2 linked regions of the Alligator mississippiensis genome follow. The protein of the gene in region 2 interacts with the protein of the main gene of each other region in a biochemical or structural test. Links are inferred from orthologs where the notes say so. Each region holds a gene or a part of one and is shown on either strand. Other genes may lie near its edges.

What was found. The genes of interacting proteins can lie anywhere in the genome.
Region 1: the proteins of ARF6 (region 2) and HTR2A form a complex in vitro, tested with the Homo sapiens proteins (2 studies listed by BioGRID). The link is inferred for Alligator mississippiensis from reciprocal best matches to the Homo sapiens genes ARF6 and HTR2A.

The regions. Positions count from the first base shown.
Region 1 is NC_081824.1:412,484,780-412,494,702, forward strand, and holds the start of HTR2A (5-hydroxytryptamine receptor 2A), read right to left. Parts: upstream 4,807-9,923; 5' UTR 4,424-4,806; exon of another isoform or gene 4,081-4,423; 5' UTR 3,768-4,080; coding exon 3,311-3,767; intron 1-3,310. UniProt on the Homo sapiens protein: G-protein coupled receptor for 5-hydroxytryptamine (serotonin).
Region 2 is NC_081825.1:297,971,123-297,981,510, forward strand, and holds ARF6 (ADP-ribosylation factor 6), read left to right. Parts: upstream 1-5,952; 5' UTR 5,953-6,073; intron 6,074-6,149; 5' UTR 6,150-6,337; coding exon 6,338-6,865; 3' UTR 6,866-9,970; downstream 9,971-10,388. UniProt on the Homo sapiens protein: GTP-binding protein involved in protein trafficking that regulates endocytic recycling and cytoskeleton remodeling. GTP-bound form plays an important role in the transport of multiple palmitoylated proteins form the Golgi to the plasma membrane.

The DNA of each region.
Region 1 (9,923 bases), on a different chromosome or scaffold from region 2:
GAATTAAGAAGGCACATGGAACATTTATTTTGTTCTTCCCTACTGTTTTAACCTTTGGTTTTGCAAATGCTATTCTTTTAATGGAGCTTTCTTAGGGCTAGATGTGTGTGTACATATGTGTGTGTATATGTGGTATATAAAGTAGTGGTGGGCCAATTTGTAACCCATGGGTTATAGTACCAGCATAAAAAGGACCAGTGGAATACTGAAATACAAATAATAAAGCAGGTTTGTGAATAACTATTTCACAAACACACCTCAAATTGAGGCAGAAACCACATTCAGACTTGGATTCTAACAATTCCTTGAAGCATTTAATGTCCAGTGTGTTTATATCTAGGATTTTAATTTGAGGGTGCTAATAATTTATACCTGGAGAGGGCATTCAAACCTAAGGGATAAATCCTACACCCACTCAAACCAAAGGCAGAACTCTTTCTGACTTAATCTGGAATTGGGTGAGACTCTAGGGCCTGACCTAACATAGGACTGCCTAAGTTCTACAGGTGCTGAGAGAACACATAATAGGAATTGAAGAATCCTGCATCCCCCAGGGTTGAGTTCATAGTTTTGAGTTCAATGCAAATTTTGACTATGATCTCTCTGTCAGTCCTATATCTTACTTCTTGGGAGATGAATGTACGGCATGTGTGAGCACTTATTTGGGCTAGAGGCCCATTTAGGGAGTTTTGGTGAGCTGTTGTGGGCTGGGTCAGCACCCTCCCCCGCAACAACTCACCAAAACTTTCTAAATGGTAGATTACTAGATGGTCCAGGGGCGCTAGATGGAGTGAGCAGGCAGGGTCTCTATGGAGACTGGCCCGGGACCCTGGTGGGCAGGATGTGCTTGGCTGGATGGGTGAGTTGGGGCCACAGGTGGGCAGGAAGCGGTATCCAGGAGCAGAATGGGCAGACAGGGCCAGGGCCAGGACTGGGCTTGCGGGGCACAGACAGTGTGGGGCTGGGTTCGGGGCCAGGGCAGATCCACACCCTGCACAATGGATAGTAAGTGGCCCAACTTGGAAAGGGGGTGGAGAACGTGTCCATGACCCAGCTCCTGCTTCTCCTGTGCCAGCACTGGAATGCCTGGGCAGCCCCAGTACAGTATGGCCCAGCAGCATGGGGCTGACCCAACAGATTGTGACTGGATTAGGCCACACTGCACTGCTTGGTTGGCCTGGTCATGATCTGTCTTATGAGGACATGGCTCTGCCCTGGCCCCATCCTGTCATCACCCCATGATCCTGCTCCTGGCCCTTGCCCCACCTGCCCATCCTGTTCCCAGATGCCAGTCCCTGCCTTCCCATGGCCCCATCCCACCCACCTGGCTGAGTGTGCTATACCCATGGGGGTCCCAAGCTAGTCTCCATGGAGACCCTGTTCTTCCACTTGATCTAGTGCCCCTGGCAGTGGGCACAGGGGAGACTGGTCAGGGTGCCCAGGCAGCAGGGCCAGCGCTAGGGCTGGCAGTGTCATTGACACTGGAAGCAGAAGCTGGAAGGAGCTGCTGCCACTGCCAGGGCTGCTGGGAAGTGAGGTATGGCCACCACACTGCCCCAGCCCTGCTGCGCACCTGGGGCCAGTGGGACCAACTGTACGCACCACAGCCCAGGCTGTCCTGGGCTGGGCTAGGCAGGGCCAAAGGATCTGGAGCTGGCTAGATAAAATCCCATGGACTGTATTTTGCCCATCCCTGTTGTAAGCTGTTGGGGTGGGAGGCTGGGATGTATGGACACTAGGTAACTGAGGGGTAGTTCTCAGTTTGGCAGGAGGCTTTTCTGCAAGCTGTTTGCTGGTCATGGTGACAAGTGATCCAGTGCGTCATGCTGATGCTGCATTTCTCGGAAATTGTATGCCTGAATGACTGGTTTTTCAAATGCATTTAGCCTGAGAGGAGATCTTTCCTCTGGCAACAGACATCACAGTGCAAAGTTAAAAAGAGAGAAAAATCATTTGATCACAGAAATACTGCAATTAAAATTAATGGTCACAATCAAACGTGGGTTTCCAAGCAGAGGCAAAAATTAGCTTTCTCAGTGGCAGGGAGTGGCCAGCAGGAGTCCCTGTTGATCACCTCAGTGAATCATTCAGAGCTTGAGTCTTTCACTTATATCTCAGATCAAGCAATTAGTGCCCCTACAGCTTTATTTTGCATTGTCTTCCCTACCATCAAAGGTAATCTTTATTGAACACTTATATGAATCCCTATTTGCTAATGCCATCCAGGATACTTTGTGTAAAAATAGCAAAATTGAAAGAGGGAAATTGGGAAATAAATTCTTATATTGCAGTTTTCCAAATGAAATCTCCCTCAAGTTGTTGTGAAGTGGTTGGTACTTTAAAACTGTAACACTCAATCTAGCATAAAAGCTATTTAAATCTTTCAAATTAGATCCCCCCTTCCCCCATTTCTTTTTCTTTTCTCTCCTGTATTGTGATACTGGGTATTTTTTTTATAAATTTGAAGATGAAACCAGCATGGAAAATGTCTATATTTAACCCTTAAGTTTTCTGCTTTTCCTCGGTGATCCAGACTGCTAAAGATTTTGGTTCAAATGCCAAGAAATTTGCTCATCACCTGTAAACAGCATCACAGTTAACCATGCTTCTTAGTTCACTTTACACTTTCACATAATAGCTGTTTAGAAAAGGTAGGGAATATTAATTTATTCAATTTCAAATGTTACTAAACACTGGTCATGAATAACTCCTGTCTACATTTTAGGCTCCCTTGAAAATACTTCTTCCAAGATTTAATGGTAAATAATATAAATAAAGATCGTAGTGTAAAGATGGTTATTTGAAACTGAAATTAATTACCAGTAAATTAATTACCAGTAAAAATATGAGGCAGGTTATTTTAACTCTAAGTGCACCAAGGCATTGATTTGCCTGTGCATATTTGTGGAGCAAAAGTATTAACAGGATATTACTTACTTATTAGGAAAACTGAAAAGTATATGTATATGAGACAAAAGTATATGAGGCAAAACTGAGAATACTGAGAACACAGCATTTTCATAGAAAACAAGATAATCCCCTCAGAATCAAAGTGGTAATTTGATTTTTGGACTGTATTTAAAACATCTATAATTGGAAGTTAAAAGGAAATGAGCTCATAGGTACTGATTCTTCTCTTTACTATATTTAACAATTATAGCATTATAGGGAGGGAGATAGCAAGCTTATATCTTAAAAGCTAGATTGCATTTATATTTTACTTGAATCCTCAAACTGTAACAATAATAACATGTGTTTGCTGTTATTAGGCTACCCAATATATGCAGTAGGTTACACAGGTGATACTCACCGTACAGTATGGTTAACATTGACACAGGCATGACAAGGAAACCCAACAGCATATCAGCTATTGCGAGTGACATTAGAAAATAATTAGTGGCATTCTGTAGCTTTTTCTCCAGTGACACAGCCATGATGACAAGAATATTCCCAGCAATGGTTAGAACAATCACAATAACTGTCAACAAAGCTGGCCAATTTTTCTCTGGAAGCTGAATCCATGATGAAAAGCAGGGTGGGCTCGGACTGCCTTCACACGAAAGATTAGTTAGGTTTTCAGAGTCCACAGTTAAGTTAAACAGATGAGATGTGTTAACCTCTCCAGATACAAAAACATTTTTGTAAAGTCTTCTCTCATGATTTAATTGTATTAAGGAGTTTGTAGTTGGGTTCACAGAACTCTCCTCATCACAAAGAATATCCATTGCTGAAACTGGTGAGTATGTATAGTAAAAAGCTGAAAGCATAAATTTTTGTCACCATCAGGCTTTATATTCCTTTGTTGTCCAAAGCTGAAGCTGGTGTAAAGGAAGGATTATTTTTTGATAATTACTTTTTCTTTATTATCCGGATGGAATTATTCTGAACGCTGAAATACTTTCTTTTCGGCTCCCTGTGAAGTCCCTTATTAGCATATGTTAAAAATCCAGTTGAAAAACAAAATCAATATGGAGAATAGAAAATGTGGACTTGAGGTTTTGGAGAGCAAAAACAATGGGCAAAAAACTTTTGCAACCATCAGGACTCTCTTCTGTAGCTACATCTTATTGCTCTTCATAACTGTAATCACACAATTTTAAATGCAGCAGTATTAAAATAGCTTGCTATACAAAACAGCAGAGCTCTGTTCCACAATGAGAAAGTTGATTAAAGATTCCACCCAGCATCTAACTCTTACAATAATAAGATATGCTCTTATTTATAGTTCATCTTCCATATTACTGGCTGATAGTCTCTGACTTCTGTCATATTTCAATATCATTCTGAGTCTCACACCAGTGATTACAAGTAATATTCCACATTGATTTTAATATCTAATAGTATCTTTTGGCTCAGCATGGCTTCAAAATAGAAATAAAATGACTAAATGCTACAATTAAAAATATAGTATAGGAAGACTTACATTGCTGAGAGCCCACATTCAAAGTTCCTTAGATCCACCTTGTACTCTGATTTGCCATATCCTTCTCTGAGTCCCTTCTCTCTAGTGGCCACAAAAACACTAGTATTTTGATTACAGTTACGTTGACTTCTAAACTGTACACTTGAGAGAAGCCAGTTCCTGTGTAGCCAGTCTTGTTCTTTTCTTCTGAGAGAGAGGCTGCTTGCTGTATCTTTCCTTGTGCATTTTCCCCCCCAAGGGCAAGCTACATGGAGAGTAATAACAATATCAGACCCCCCCTCAAAGTGATACAAAAGAAAGCACACGAACTAGAAGGAGCAGTCTCCAGAAAGAGATTACTGATTTCAACAGGAATGTAATTTCTTGCTCACTGCCTTGTTCAGTTTGTCAGACCTCCCACTATCTAGATGTCATAAACTGCAAGGTAGCAACAGCAAAGGAGGACAGACCAAATAGGGTCTTTTTTTGGTAACTGCCAGTTTTTTCATTTGATCATTTTTGAGGTCTTAGTTTTGTTTAAGAAAATGCACATTTTCCCTTTGCAAAGGATGCCCTTCAAGCCAGCTGTGTACAATTATAATATCTTGTGGGGTGAATGTTTGAGGAAGACAATAAATAAAGATAGTAATGGTACATGCTGGTAAAACTGTAAATGTGCAGCTTTTTCCATCCTAAAGGTTGCAGCTTTTATGCTAACCCTAAACTGAATTACTCATGTTCAGTCCTCCCTTATCTGATTCCTGGGTGTGTGCTGATGACCTAACCAAACTGCCAACAGATATTTATAAAAAATAAAAAGTAATCATAATTTAATTATTTGTCAGGAAGTGGAAGGTACAAATAAACCCTGATAACCTATTTGGAAGAAAAGTGCCCCAAATGAAGTAGGCAGACAAGGTTTCTTGGGTGAATTTGATATCTTTTATTAGACCAACCCAAATAGTTGGAGAATAGTTATTAAGCAAGCTTTCGGGTTCAAAAACCCTTCGTCAGGCTAAGGAAGTTTCAGCAGTTGGTGTGTGCTCTTCCTGGATGGAATGAAAAGTAAAGAAGCCAGAGGCTGGGCTGGGGAGTCAGTTGCCAGGCTGATTATAATGTGTCAAAAATCCAATGTCTATATTTAGTCCACGATCTCTAGTATCCAGGAGGTTGATGAAATGGAGTTCACAGACCACCTTCCCAGCAACACACTCGTAGCCACCATGGACGTTACCATCCTATATACCAACATCCCACACCAGGATGGCATCCAAGCCTGCCTTACATATCTACAGGAACAAGATTACAACACAGATTACAGACCCAAAGATATTACTGACCTTATACACTTCATCCTCACACACAACAATTTCACTTTTAATAACCAACACTTCCTCCAGATGATGGGAACAGCTATAGGCACTAAAATGGCCCCACAGTATGCAAACCTTTTTATGAGCCACCTGGAAGAAGACTTCCTCAAGAACTACACCATCAAACCCTTGCTATACTTAAGATATATCAATGACATCTTCATCATTTGAACTGAAAACCTACAATCTCTGATTGAGTTCCATCAGAAATTCAACAATCACCATCCCTCCATCCGACTTTCTCTAGAATACTCCAGCACCAGCATCTCCTTTTTAGACACGATGATCAATATCCAGAATGATAAAATACAAACCACATTATACAAGAAACCCACAGACCAACATACATATCTGCACAGAACCAGCAATCACCCTAAACGCACCAAAAAAGCTGTGATATACAGCCAAGCCCTCAGATACCACCGCATTTGTACTGAAGAGAACACCTGGGATTGCCACCTCACCAATCTTAAAAAGGCTTTCACCCAACAAGGACACTCCTCCAGAGAGGTAGATCGCATGTTTGAAACAGCCACCTAGATACCACATGAAGAACTGCTGCAGTACAGAAGAAAAACACCCACAAATTGCACACCGCTGGTTATGACATATCACCCCTCCCTTGAACCTGCACGAAAAATCCTCAAACAACTGCAACCCATACTAGAAAGAGACCCTATTCTTAAAAAGATCTTCCCAGAGCCACCCATCCTAGCCTTCAAACAAGCACCGAACCTCACCAACCTCATCACCAGAAGCAAACTTCCTTAAGCCCAGAACACACCAAAAGGATCCAGACCGTGCCATGACAAGAAATGCAAAACCTGCCAACACATCTCCACCACCCCCACTATTACTACACCCCACAACAGAGCCAGCAGCATTCCTGGATCTTACAGCTGCACCTCCAGAAATGTAATATACCTCATCCAATGCACCAAATGCCCTGATGGAAAATACGTAGGAGAGACCAAACAACAACTGCACGCCAGAATGAACGCACACCGGAAATCTATCAAAGACAGAAATACCCAATTACCGGTGGGGGCACATTTCTCACAGGAGGGCCACTATCTCTCCAGTCTCTCAGTCCTGATCCTCAAGGGAAACTTACACAACACTCCCCAGAGACGAGCCTATGAGCTCCATTTCATCAACCTCCTGGATACTAGAGATCATGGACTAAATATAGACATTGGATTTTTGACACATTATAATCTGCCTGGCAACTGACTCCCCAGCCCAGCCTCTGGCTTCTTTACTTTTCATTCTATCCAGGAAGAGCACACACCAACTGCTGAAACTTCCTTAGCCTGACGAAGGGTTTTTGAACCTGAAAGCTTGCTTAATAACTATTCTCTAACCATTTGGGTTGGTCTAATAAAAGATATCAAATTCACCCAAGGAACCATGTCTGCCTATGTCCTTAGACCAACACAGCTACAACCTACACCACTGCCAAATGAAGTAGTACAGTCATGTAAAGTGTTCTGGGATAAATAGTGGAATTAAACCCCCTTCCGTGATTTTTCCTATTCCTTTGTAATATCTGTGCCATGACACTTATGGGAGACTAGTTGACTATTCTTTTCCACATTGTAGTAGGGTTGGAGTGTTGTTGTACAACCCTGTGTTGGAAATCTTGTCCAACATCCTTCCCAGCTATACGCTTGGTCCCGTAAAAGATATCACAAAAAACCCTTGCCTCTAGTACATTTCCTAAACCATCACAGGTACAACAATACAGAATGAATAATTACAGAAAAAAGGAAAACACTTTTCATGGAACAACCACTCTGTTTCTGACCTCACAGTCCTTTTAGTCAAGGGAAATCTGAAAAACACCTTCAAAAGACAGACGTGGGAGCCAACATTTATAACATTCATAACACTAAAAATCATAGATTAAGCCCAAAAAATGTCTTTCTGACTCACTACACTCTACCTGCTATCTCTGCTAAAATCTCTGCACTCCACAGGTAATAATAACCCTTTTCTCTTCTGAATAGTCCTGTTCTACGTAAGTTGGCGTTCGTTTGAACTATATTCCCCTTGTTTTGAAGCTATTTCTGATAGCCTCTCTCTGTTCCTACTTTTCAGTCATCTTCCATTCCTTTAAGTGACTGTTTTAATTCACAAAACACAACCCCCAACCCCAGCCCACACTGGTGGATAGCATACTTTCCTGGGAGTTGTGGCTTTGAACTCCTGGGACACATCCAGATGAGTGCCCACGTCCAGTTTGCAGCACCTCAAAAGTAGTTTGAGGCACCACAAACTACATGCAGTGCACATGCACCCATTCGCTACACTGCTAATTTGTAGCGTGGCTGTTTTTTTGATACCAGGAGATCCCTGAGGCTAAGAAGGGCCTAAACAGTAGGTCCTCCATTTTCTGAGCAACTGTTTTAGCTAGTAGTTGTTGATAGACATGGACACTGGCATCACTCCCTCCTCAAGCCGTGCATAAGAGTGGCAAGGCCTATTGTGCTCTTTGCTGAACTTAACCCTGCCAACATGCATTAGGTGTGTTCTGAGTGCACCTACTGGATCAGTACCTTGAGGAGACTTAGGACCAGAAATGGCTAGTTAATAAATCCCAAATGGATATAGGTATGAGACAGTGGCTGAGATACTCATCTTTGTCAAGGTGGCATCATTTAATGCAAGTAGCACAAATGTAGGTGCCTACTTAAGTTTACCAGTAAAAACATAGCTGCCTTTGCCCTTTCAGGCCACATCCAAATGAGCGTGGTTGTTTGTTTCCCCAGGGACAAGTAGCAGCAACACACCTTGTGAGCAAAAAATTACATTCCTGCTGGATTTAATAATCTCTTTCTAGAGACTGCTCCTTCTAGTTTGCGTGCTTTCTTTTGTATCACTTTGATTCTGATATTATTATTACTCACCATGTAGCTAGCCCTTCGGGGGGGATGCACGACGAAAGATACATTTTGTGCCACTGCTACTTGTCCCTGGGGAATGCCCATGCCATGGGCACTCTGGTGCATGGCAGGTTACCCTGGGTGAGCTAGGGGAGGCTGGGCCCAGCAACTGTGCCGGCCTCAGCAGCCTTACCTGGGGTCCTGGGGGCTTTGGGGAGCTGCAGCCATGGCACTCCTGCAGCTGGGAGCCTGGCCGGCAGTTGGAGTGTGGCTCCAGCCAGACAGGGTCTGGTTTTAGGCAGCATGCACTGCCACTACGTGAGCCACCCCACATTTTTTTGGTGTGACCCTGGGGAAAAAAACCCTCTTGCACTGCAAGGCAGTAGCATGGGGCATGCCTGCATGTGCGATTTGTGGCACCATGTACCATGCATCCGTGCCATGCTCATGTGGACGTTGCCTCAGGTGCCTAAACAGATATGTAGTTTTTGTTTGTTTGTTTGTTTTTTTAACTGTTCAGCTGGACTTTAGTTAGCTACATTTTGCCTGAGTTCTACTTTAGGCACCTTTGTCTCTTTTTGGGTCTGGTTTAAGGCATCTTGACTAGGCTCGCGCAGGTATAACTCTCAGGTTTTCTGAATAATGTGCCTTTGGCTGAAGTGTCCTTCCTTCCCCTTTCTCTGCCTGGAAAGAACCTAGTACCTTGTGGAGTCTATTGGAAACATACATCAATAATTATTATTTAGTATTTACCTATAATTATTTCCCTAAGAAAACACCAGGTTCCTTAATATTCAACTGAAACCATAGGGTTTTATCAAATAAAGCAATAAGTTTCCTGCTTTTCTGATGAATTGAGGGCACCTATATTCTTTGGAGGTGCTCCTCCACTTACAGAAGTTGGTCTACATTTTGTGCAGTTAATGGGAAAAATTCAAGCCTAAAGAACAAATATAACCCACAGATTTTTACAAAATGGTACATGTGAAGGAGTCAGCTCTGAAAATTGCAGGTCCCAACATAAGTCTTCTATTCTGAATTAAACAACCTTCCACTCAGATAATGGTAGAGCATTACACACTAGAGCCTATTGTCTCTGTGGGCTGAATACTTGCATTAGTAATAAAGACAGCTGTGATTTGTTCCATTTTCTGTGAAGTGAAGTCTTAGTTTGAAGCATCATCCATGTGGTCCCAAGCACCCTTTAGAAACATAGCTGGCAGCAGGACAGACCATGCTTTTTTTACTTTCTAGAAGGCACCA
Region 2 (10,388 bases):
CATTTCTAATTCTACAACTGGGATTGGGATTTGAGGGTGTGAGCTCCTTCTAAAGGTAGTCTTTGGTGCTTCTCCCAACTTAATGCTCTACTTTGCAGCTGCAGCATTTGTGCCATGGCCTCATGGCTTTTTTTGAAACAGAGCCACAACGTCACTGAATCCTAACACACCCGAAACAGCTGAATTCTTTAGAGTTTGGGTTTGCAGAAACTAGAACAAGCTCTCACCCATCATGACAGCCCTGTAAACTCTGTGACAGCTCATGCTGGAGACTCACTGAGCACAATGCCCCAGAAGGTCACAGGATATCACCAGGGAACTTTACCTTGATTAACCACATTTTCTGACATTGAACTTCCTAGGGAGGGCGAGGGGATATTTGCTTGGTCTGGTGCTTTCCTTTAGCTTTGTTCTTGTTGTGGTTGGTTTTTATTAAATGTTTTCTGTCGGAGCTAGTCAGCATTTATGCATTTGTCGTTGTCACTGAGGCCTATAGAGGATGCCACCCTGATGGGTAAAATCCAGGCAGCTGGGTGCCTTTCTCAATCTTACACGCTTTGTTATTGGGAAACGGGGATTACGATCATCTTTGTAAAGTGTTGAGTGCATACTTGCTACCAGGGGCCAGTGGGAGAGGGTCTGTGTCCCTGGGCTGGACAGGTTAATGACGTGGTGCCCGCCAGGAACATCCTTCCTTTCCCCTGACACTTTCCCACAATACAGAGCCCCCCACAAACTGTTTCCCACTCACCCTCCCGCTGCCACCCTATTAAAGCATTGGCATGCGACAACCTACTAGCACGCAGGAAGTGCCTCCTTGTGTCCAGCACCCCATTTTTGGCACCCCAGATGATCACGCCCTCCCTGGGTTGTGTAGCTTGAGCTTTACGTGGATTCAGGTGCTGCGTCCACACAATGCTCCCATGCGCCTGCTTTGGCCAGGCCTTGCAGACCATCCCCCCAGTCCACCCATGATGACGACCTCAACCTCAGTCCTGCTACCTCGCTGTAGCCGGCTCCCCCACTCCATCCATGTGTGTACTTCAACTTTATAGCTCCTGGTTTTCAAAGACGCCCTCTCATCATATTAATTTCCCTGACTCCTCAGTCCATGTCACCAAATCCCTCCCACCTTCCCATACCCCTCTCTCTCCTGCCATGGGCCCTAAAATCTCTCTCCCCTCCTCATCTCCATTTATCCTCCTCCCCTAGCCACTGCCCCAACTCTCTCCCCCTCCATTCCCCTTTCTACTCCTCCATCCCCCTCCTCTCCCAGCCTTTACCTATGCAACTTTTCGTGTTGAAAACTGTCTGAGCACCTTCACTGAATCTTCTGCAATACTCTGATTACATTTCCCAGAACAAAAAGCCCTTTGATAGAGACAGGTTATTGCAACATGGTTACACTAACCATTCAGATTTCTGCCAAGGGTGGATGCCAAATTTGCAATGCCTGGGTACTGCTCCGGTTCCAAACCCACAGCACTTCTGCTCGAGCCAGTTAGGTCATGGGAAAAGTGACTGGGTGGCAACCCTTTGGAGTACTATGTCTGCACATGCACGGTATAATCCACCCAGTTAGGTCGCACCTCTCAGTGCAGCTTAAGCCTTGTGAAATGCTGCGTCCAATTTTGCTCCTCCAATGCCTCCGATAAAGGGCAAGCACTTGAGATCTTCTGGGGGCTACCAGGTCAACCCTAGATATACATGGCTGGAAAGGATCTCAGGAGAGTCTCAATGGTCCCTCCCCTGCACTGATCCTACTAAGAATCCAGGGCAGCTGTCTAACTTGTTCTCAAAAAACTTCCTCTGAGGGTTTCACAACGTCATGCCAGAAAACATGTTGCACTGCTTCACCACCCTTAGAGAAAGTTCATGCTATCCAGCCTAATTCTGTGCTGCAAATTAAGCCACTTTCTTCTTGCCCTGCCAATTTTGGGCATGGAGCATAATCAATCATCTTTTTAACAGCCTTCTGAATTCTGAAAGGCTGATCAGGTCTTTTCTAGACAAACCAGTTTCTTCAACCTTTCCTTTTAAGTTGGCAGAGGAGAGCCACGCGCATGATCAGAGGGCAGGAAAACAGACCTTATGATGACAGGCTGAGAGCCCTGGGACTCTTCAGCTTGGAAAAGCGCAGGCTCAGGGGTGATCTGGTGGCCACCTATAAGTTTATCAGGGGTGCTTATCAGGATCTGGGGGAAAATCTGTTCACCAGAGCGCCCCAAGGTCGAACGGTCACAAACTCCGCCACGACCGATTCAGGCTGGACATAAGGAAAAACTTCTTTACTGTCTGAGCCCCCAAGGTTTGGAATAGACTGCTGCCAGAGGCGGTTCAAGCACCCACTTTGAACGCCTTCAAGACACATTAGGATGCTTATCTTGCTGGGATCCTATGATCCCTGCTGACTTCCTGCCCCTGGGGCAGGGGGCTGGACTCAGTGATCCTCCGGGGTCCCTTCCAGCCCGAATGTCTATGAAATCTATGAAGTTATGATGGCAACACTTTTTTTTTTTGCGGTTGCTGCTTTCTTCTGGACTCCAGTCTCTTTACATCCTTTTTAAAGCGTGACTTAAAGCGCACCAGTATTTCATCTGAAGTCTCCACCCACACCAGTACAGTAGAATAACCACCTTCTGTGGTGGCCATTCCTCTTAATACAATGCAGGATGAAATTTGCCTGTTATGCAACAAAATCACATTATTAACTTATGTTCAGCGTACGCTCCATTATAACCTTGAGATCCTTCTTGGAAATACTGCTGCCTATCCAGTTAGTCCCCATTTTGTATTTGTGCCCTTGCTTTCTCCTTCCATAGCATGCTGCACTTACCTTTATCCCATCTTGGTGCTTGCACACAATTTCTCTCTTTATTACGTTCATTTTGATTTCTGATCATGATCTTGAGAGCACCTGAAACACTTTACAGCTTGGTAAGACTGACAGCTTTATAACTGCCCTCTCGATTGCATCATTCAGGATGTTAATGAAAATAGCCAATGGAACTTGGCCCAGGACAAAGGGAAGTAAGACCCCACTGGAAATATTCTCGTAGTTTGACAGTGAAACATTGATAACTATCTTTTAAGTGTGCTTTTTCAACCGTCTAACAATGACTTCACGTAGAAGGCAGGGTAGACACGCCTTACAGACCAGAGGTTCTCAACCTTGCTGGACTCAAGGCACCCCACGTTGGATGCGAGACCCCTCTGTGTAACTTTTGCCACTTGAGCAGCACCTACTTTCAAAAACGGATTCATACATTACTCCCTTTCATGCAAAGGGGCTTAGCAGTGGGAGTGTGGGACAAACAGGGATAAGCCTGTGGCACCCTTCAAAGGATCTGGCAGCACCCCAGGGTGCCCTGGTATCCTTGATGTAGCAGGCAACAGTCCTTCTGGATCATAGTGCATGTGTGAGAGGTCACCAGGACTTTTGACACACACATCCAGAGAGGAGTTTGGAGGAGGGGAGGCTGGCCAGACCTTCTATCCCCCCACTTTAGTCCATTAAGACAGTATCCAAAGTCCAGACCTTCGGTGCTTCAATAGCTGTAGTTACACCTGCATCTAGGAATCAAATTCAGGTCTCCCATGTGGGGGACAAAGATTGAATCACAACTGTGGGTGCACTATGGATGAGACTCACCCTTATAGCCTAACTCAATAAGATGTATATATAAAGCACTAGCTTTCATGAACTCAAGTTCACTTCATCAGACGCTGTGAAAGGACAGCACAGAGCAGCATATAAACTGGACTTCACATAGACCACGCTTCCCGCACGTGCTCAGGAGAACGTCTTGTCACAATGCTAAAAGCTTCACTATAGCCCCAGCGCATCACATATGCCGCTTCCCCTGGACCCATTCCCTTGTCAGACAAGGAAATTAGATTTGGCTGACACAATCCATGGTCACTGAGTCCATGCTGGTGGTCGGGTTGCCAACCTGCCAGGATTGCCCTGGAGTCTCCAGGAATTAGATATAACTCTCCAGGAGACTGCTGAGAGTCACCTGGGACATAAATGATAGGGCATTCATTAAAATATGCATTAAATGTTTAATCTGATTTATATAGTAGTCTAGTGGGGTTTTAAAATGTAATAGTAATGTGCATTTGCCTTCCTGATGTAAAGTCTACGCACCATAATCTATAAGTGGTATACACAAGCACATACGTGTTGTGTTGTGAGCATGACGGCATTCTGGAAACCTCCCAAAATAGATTCGGAGTTCATAACCCAGGCTGGTGGGATGGGTTGGTTTAGGTTTTACTTGATCCACCTTAACCTCTGCCTGGTGCTTCTAATCAGTTCTCAACATTCACAGACTCATGGCAACCCTTGGTAGACTCATGGCATCCCTTGATAGAGTCAGTGCCCCTTGATAAACTTGCAGCACCCCTTGATAGTCATAGAAAATGAGGGTTGGAAGGGACCTCAGGAGGTCACATCTAGTCCAACCCCCTGCTCCAAGCAGGATCAGCCCCAACTAGATCATCCCAGCCAAAGCTTTGTCGAGCCGGGTCTTAAAAACCTCCAAGGATGGAGAGTCCACCACCTCTCTGGGTAACCTGTTCCAGTGTTTTACCACCCCCCTAGTGAGGGTTTTTCCTAATATCCCTCAACTTCCCTTGCTGCAACTTGAGCCCATTGCTCCTTGTCCTGTCATCTGCCAGTCCAGCTCCTTCCTCTTTTGAGTCCCCTTCAGGTAGTTGAAGGCTGCTATTAAATCCCCTCTCCGTCTCCTCTGCTCTAGACTAAATCACCCCGCGCCCTCAGTCTTTATAAATCACATGCTCCAGCCCACAGACCATTTCTGTTGCCCTCCGCTGACTCTCCCCAGTGTGTCCACATCCTTTCTGTAGCGGGGGGCCCAAAACTGGACACAGGACTCCTGATGTGGCCTCCCCAGTGCTGAGTAGAGGAGAATAATCACTTCCCTCGGCATGCTGGCAACGGTCCTACCCAAGCAGCCCAGGATGCCGTTAGCTGTCTTGGCAACGAGGGCACACTGCTGGCTCATCTCCAGCTTCTTGCCCACTGTCACCCCAGGGCCTCTTCTGCAGAGCTGCTGCCCAGCCAGGCACCCCCAGCCCCCACCGGTGCAGGGCATTGCTCCGTCCCAAGTGCAGGACTTTGCACTCGTCCTTGTTTAATTCCTTTTGACCCAATCCTCCAAGTTGTCTAGGTCACTCTGAATGCTAGCCCTGCCCCCGTGTATCTGCTACTCATGACATCTCTGACAGACACGTGGCACTGCTTGTCAGACTCAGGGCACGGCTCAGAGGCCAGGTCTCAGTTGTCACTGTGTGCTGCAGGAACACAGGAGACTAGAGCCAAGAGCTGGGGACAGGCTGGCTTGGACACTACGGACCGCACTGGAAATATGTAGGTCGATGTTGTGCCCGGCGTGGCCCAGCCCTGCGTCCCCCACGTGGCTCGGGCCCGCGCGGCCTGGCCCTTTAAGAGGACCCCGGGGCACCCCCGCGCGCAGCTGCTGACGTGGGATCGCGTGGCGCCTCTCCCCATAGAAACCACACCCCAGCCGGTGCGCGCATGCGCACACCCTCCCTTTAGCCCCCTCCTTCCCCAACTGAGCAGGCGCAGCCGCAGCAAGGCGGAAGTCGAATTTAGGCGGCGCCCGGCTCTGCGCATGAGCAGCGCGCGTCCCGGGAAAATTACGCGAGCCAAGGCCGCTCCCTTGTGTTCCGGTTGCGCAATGCCGCGCAGGCGCCCTGCCCGCCTTCCTCCTCCTCCAGCAGGCTTCGCCCCACCCGAGTGACGTCAAGCGCATGCGCACACCCCAGCGGGGGCATCACCGTTGGCGCGTCCCTCTCCTCCGCATGCGCGGTGAGGCCCAGAGCCGCTGCACGCATGCGCGGTGCGTCTTGCGGCCGGGCGTGCGTGGGCGCGGCGCAGGCGCAGTGCGCTCGCGGAGGGGGAGGGGCCGCCTCATAACGGCCGGTCCGGCCGGGCGGGCGCGTGGTGCGCCTGCGCGTTGCGAGCTGAGGGGAAGTGAGGCGGGCTTTTCCGGCGGCCTGAGGGGAGCGGCGGCGGCAGTGGCAGGTAACGGGCTGCTCCGCGAGGCCGGGTCGGGCCCCTCACGGGCGGGCGCTCACCTTGTCTCTCGGTCCCTCCGCAGGCAGGAGCCGGTGCCGGCTTCCATGAGCTGAGGGGCCGCCGGGTGCCGACGGGCTAAGCCGGGCCTGGCCTGGGACAGCGGCCCACGCCCCCCCACCCCCCTTGCTGGGCCGCGCCCGTGAGGAGCCCCCTCCCCCCCTTCCTCCCCCCGCCCCTCCCCCACCCCGGGGCCCCGTGGATGCCGCCGAGATGGGCAAGGTGCTGTCCAAGATCTTCGGCAACAAGGAGATGCGGATCCTGATGCTGGGGCTGGACGCGGCGGGCAAGACCACCATCCTGTACAAGCTGAAGCTGGGCCAGTCGGTGACCACGATCCCCACGGTGGGCTTCAACGTGGAGACGGTGACGTACAAGAACGTCAAGTTCAACGTGTGGGACGTCGGCGGGCAGGACAAGATCCGGCCCCTGTGGCGGCACTACTACACGGGCACGCAGGGCCTGATCTTCGTGGTGGACTGCGCCGACCGCGACCGCATCGACGAGGCGCGCCAGGAGCTGCACCGCATCATCAACGACCGGGAGATGCGGGACGCCATCATCCTCATCTTCGCCAACAAGCAGGACCTCCCCGACGCCATGAAACCCCACGAGATCCAGGAGAAACTGGGCCTGACGCGGATCAGGGATAGGAATTGGTACGTGCAGCCCTCCTGTGCCACCACGGGGGACGGACTCTACGAAGGGCTGACGTGGTTAACGTCCAACTATAAATCCTAATGGCGGGCGGGGGGGGACACGCACGCGCGCACACATACAAATGAAACTCTTTTAGGCTATGGAGAATTTAAGGAAAATGAATAAATAAAGAAATAAAGAATTAACCCACGTGGCTTCCCAGAAGACCAGTTCTCGGCAGAAAAGCAAAGCATCCATAGGATTATGATCACCTCTTCTCCCACAACCGCCCTTTTCTTCGACACACTGACTGGATTCCTATTTTAACTCTTCTTGCTTGGCATTAGGATGCTCTAATCCTCAAATGTGACATGAACACAAGCACTAGATGCTATGGCAGACTTCCAGCAAACAAGGGGAAAAGACACGTTGTAGATTTGCTAAGTAACTCTTTTTTTTTTTTTTTTTTTTTCATTCTTTCTTGACTACCCTCTTTTTTTTTTTTTCCACCCCCATTCCTCTGGGGTGGGAGGAGTAAGGGTACCTCTGGGTGTATGCTTTCTGGCTCTTTTTTTTTCTTTGAATTGCTGTAGATTGCTACTTTCTTGCATTCATGCAGAATATGTTGATAGGTCTATTTCATCTAGTAAACTAAAAATGATTGCTTAAAATCAAACCGCAGTCTGTCTTTTTATATGGAGGACTTTTTTTAAAAAAAAAAAAAAAGTTCTGCTGATCTGTAATTAGTGACTTGAAATTTTGTCTTTTTCATCTCCAAGACTAATATGAAATAAAAAAAAATGTTTGCCTACAGCAGCAGGTAGTGAGAATACCATTGTAATGCGTTCAAAGTGTATATCAGGTGTAATGTTAACTAGGTAATGTAAGAACTGCTTGAAATGTCAGCTGTGAAGTTCTGAACCATACATCATGCATGAATAGGGATGCAAGTAGGTCCCATACAGCATAGCAACCATATAGTGAGTAAGACGTGAATGATGTAATAGTTTCAGGGTATACTCCTATTCAGTTCCTGTTGCATTGCAGCTAAATATCACTGACTCTTGTGATCATAATCAGTTACACATCAGACTCCCATTTCAATGCAAGAGATCTCCAGAAAATGTAGCAATAATGTGATGATTTTTACTTAAAATCAAAACTGTGGGCAAAAATCAGACCCTGACTTCCTTGTCTTGCAGTACAGGAAATGTTTGTGTTGACTCCTTCCCTCCCCCCCCTTGCCTTATGTGATTTTTATGTAGCTTTAAAGGAGCTGCAGAGAAACAACTTCTGTTTCTGTACCATAAACACTCAAGTAAGAAAGCTCACTCCTAAGCTTTTAACTGAAAGGTGTTTTTTTTTTTCTTGTTTTCTTTTTATTTTTTTTAATGCTTGAATAATTACCATTTAGAGGAAGTGATTATCAGTTTAGTTTTTGCAAGACCACAAATTTTAATTAATGCAAGTAGCTGCAAATGGCCTTAGCCCTCTGTTCCAGTAGCATGTTAATATAATTCTGTATGAAAGGATCTCCATTGGCTGTCCGAACTTAAATCCAGTGAGTAACTGCTCAGTCAGGGTGGGGAGAAGAGTGAGTATATGACTATGAATGTAAATCTCCATATTTAGGTCTTAAAGGGCAAGCAGCTCATTTGCTGTATCGCAGTTTTCAGATGCCTGTGACTGGCAAAAAAACCAAGTGTTTGAGTAGGTATGAAATGAGTTCAATCAAGTATTAATACTAGGTGCAAAAAAAAATTGTAAAGCAGCTGGTTCTTATTCAGCCTTAAAGATTAACTTCAGATTTCCTCAAGGAGTTAAAGTCTATTGGGGAATTCTAGGAATGTATGCTACAAAACCAGAAGAAAATGGCTTTTCTCTTTTTTTTTTTTTCTTTTTTTAGGGTATTAGATTCACATTTAAATTGGGGCATTACACTACATTTTTGCAATTTTAACTCTGCATGTTAAATATAATGTACATGGAGCTTTTTACCAAAGATGTATGGGAAGATTAAAAATTGAGTGCTTAAGGCCACTTGGAAAAAATTGGTGATTAGAAAATGGCTCTAAAGAGGGACACAATTGGTGTGAATTGCAAATCGCAATGAAAGGGTTCTTGATGCTAGAAAATGGAGCAGTGATTCCTAAAGAAATCTGTGTAAATGAAAAACCAATTGGAGAAGCTAGCTAAAAACCAATGATCCTAAATTCCCAGTTTGGATGGGGAAATGAAAGATCTCTACTTAGTCTCATAACTGAAAGCTCATTGCCCTATTTTCTAGCTATTACAAATTCCAGAAGCCTTTTATTTCAGTTTAACTGATCAAACATAATGTGGTGTAAAGGTGCAGAAACCAAAGCACCAAGATACAATATATTGTTTTCTTCTGGGGAAAAAAAAATAAAGCCAAGCACAAAGTAGATGCCTAAACTGGAAAACTTGAAGCTCTGTTATACTGATGGTTCTTAAACATATTCTCAATCAAAATGAAAACTTGGGTTCTTTCAGTTTCAGTCTAGAGTTAATATGTACTGCTTTCTATCTCCTCAGACATGGTTTGGGGATAAGCCTAAATTGCTTCATTAGACTTTTTGCATTAAGTTGAATTCACAATTTTGTATTTTCTTGGTAATTTTTGTTACTTTAGATATCCTGTTTTGTAGGTAAAAGGATGAACTTTAATTATACTTCTGAATTTTTTTTTAATGTCATTCTGGGAGAAGTAACTTTAATTACTGAAACTTGTGTGGCAGATGATTAAAAAATAAACACTTTTTGCTACTGAACAAAAGATAAATGCTTCATTTTGAAAATGTCCTCTAATAGGGTTATAGTTGAAACTAACCAGTGGCTTCAATGCACTACTTAAGCCTGCAGGATAAAGTAGCAATCTGTGTAAGAATTCCAATCGCTTCAAAAATGAATCTGAAGTTTAAGTGCATCAACCTGTGTTCTTGTGAATTTTATGAAGTAACTTGGAGTAAGGGGTTTTTTTTTTGTTTTGCTTTTTCTGGTTTTTTGGGTGTTTGTTTTTGTTGTTTTTTTTTTTTTTAAACAGCGTTCATCTTGTCTAAGTGAATAAATAAGTCTGTAGACTGTGATTCTCCCTGACTAAAGCAAACAGGAATTTTGTGTTCTCAGTATGGTTGTAGTGTTGGTAAAGAACTAATAAGCAGAAAATAAAGCGATTTATACAGTGGAGCTCTTTTGGTATGTTGCTTGTATTTGAACATGGCAGAAACAGAAAGGGGCTACATGGTATCCTGGACTAGTGCATTGTGTTTAACCTTCAGGCTTAATGTTCTGTATTGCCTGGCTTTGAATGCTTGTCCATAGTCTCCCATTTTAGCTTGGTCTGGAGGTAAATGAGTTAATTGCACAGCTTGTGGGGGGGGGGGGGGGGTTGTTTTTGGGGTTTTTTTGTTTGGTTCCCAGCCCCCCCCCCCCCCCCCAACTACTCCCACTTCAAGCTTTCAATGGACTTTTAAACTAAACTTACCCTGCAGGGTGAAACACTAAAATGCAAGCTGTCTGCTCAAGGAACTTTTTACAAGGTAATGCTAGACTAATACAGTACCTAAGATTCATGTGCAAGAAGGCACAGGAGCACTGTTTAGAA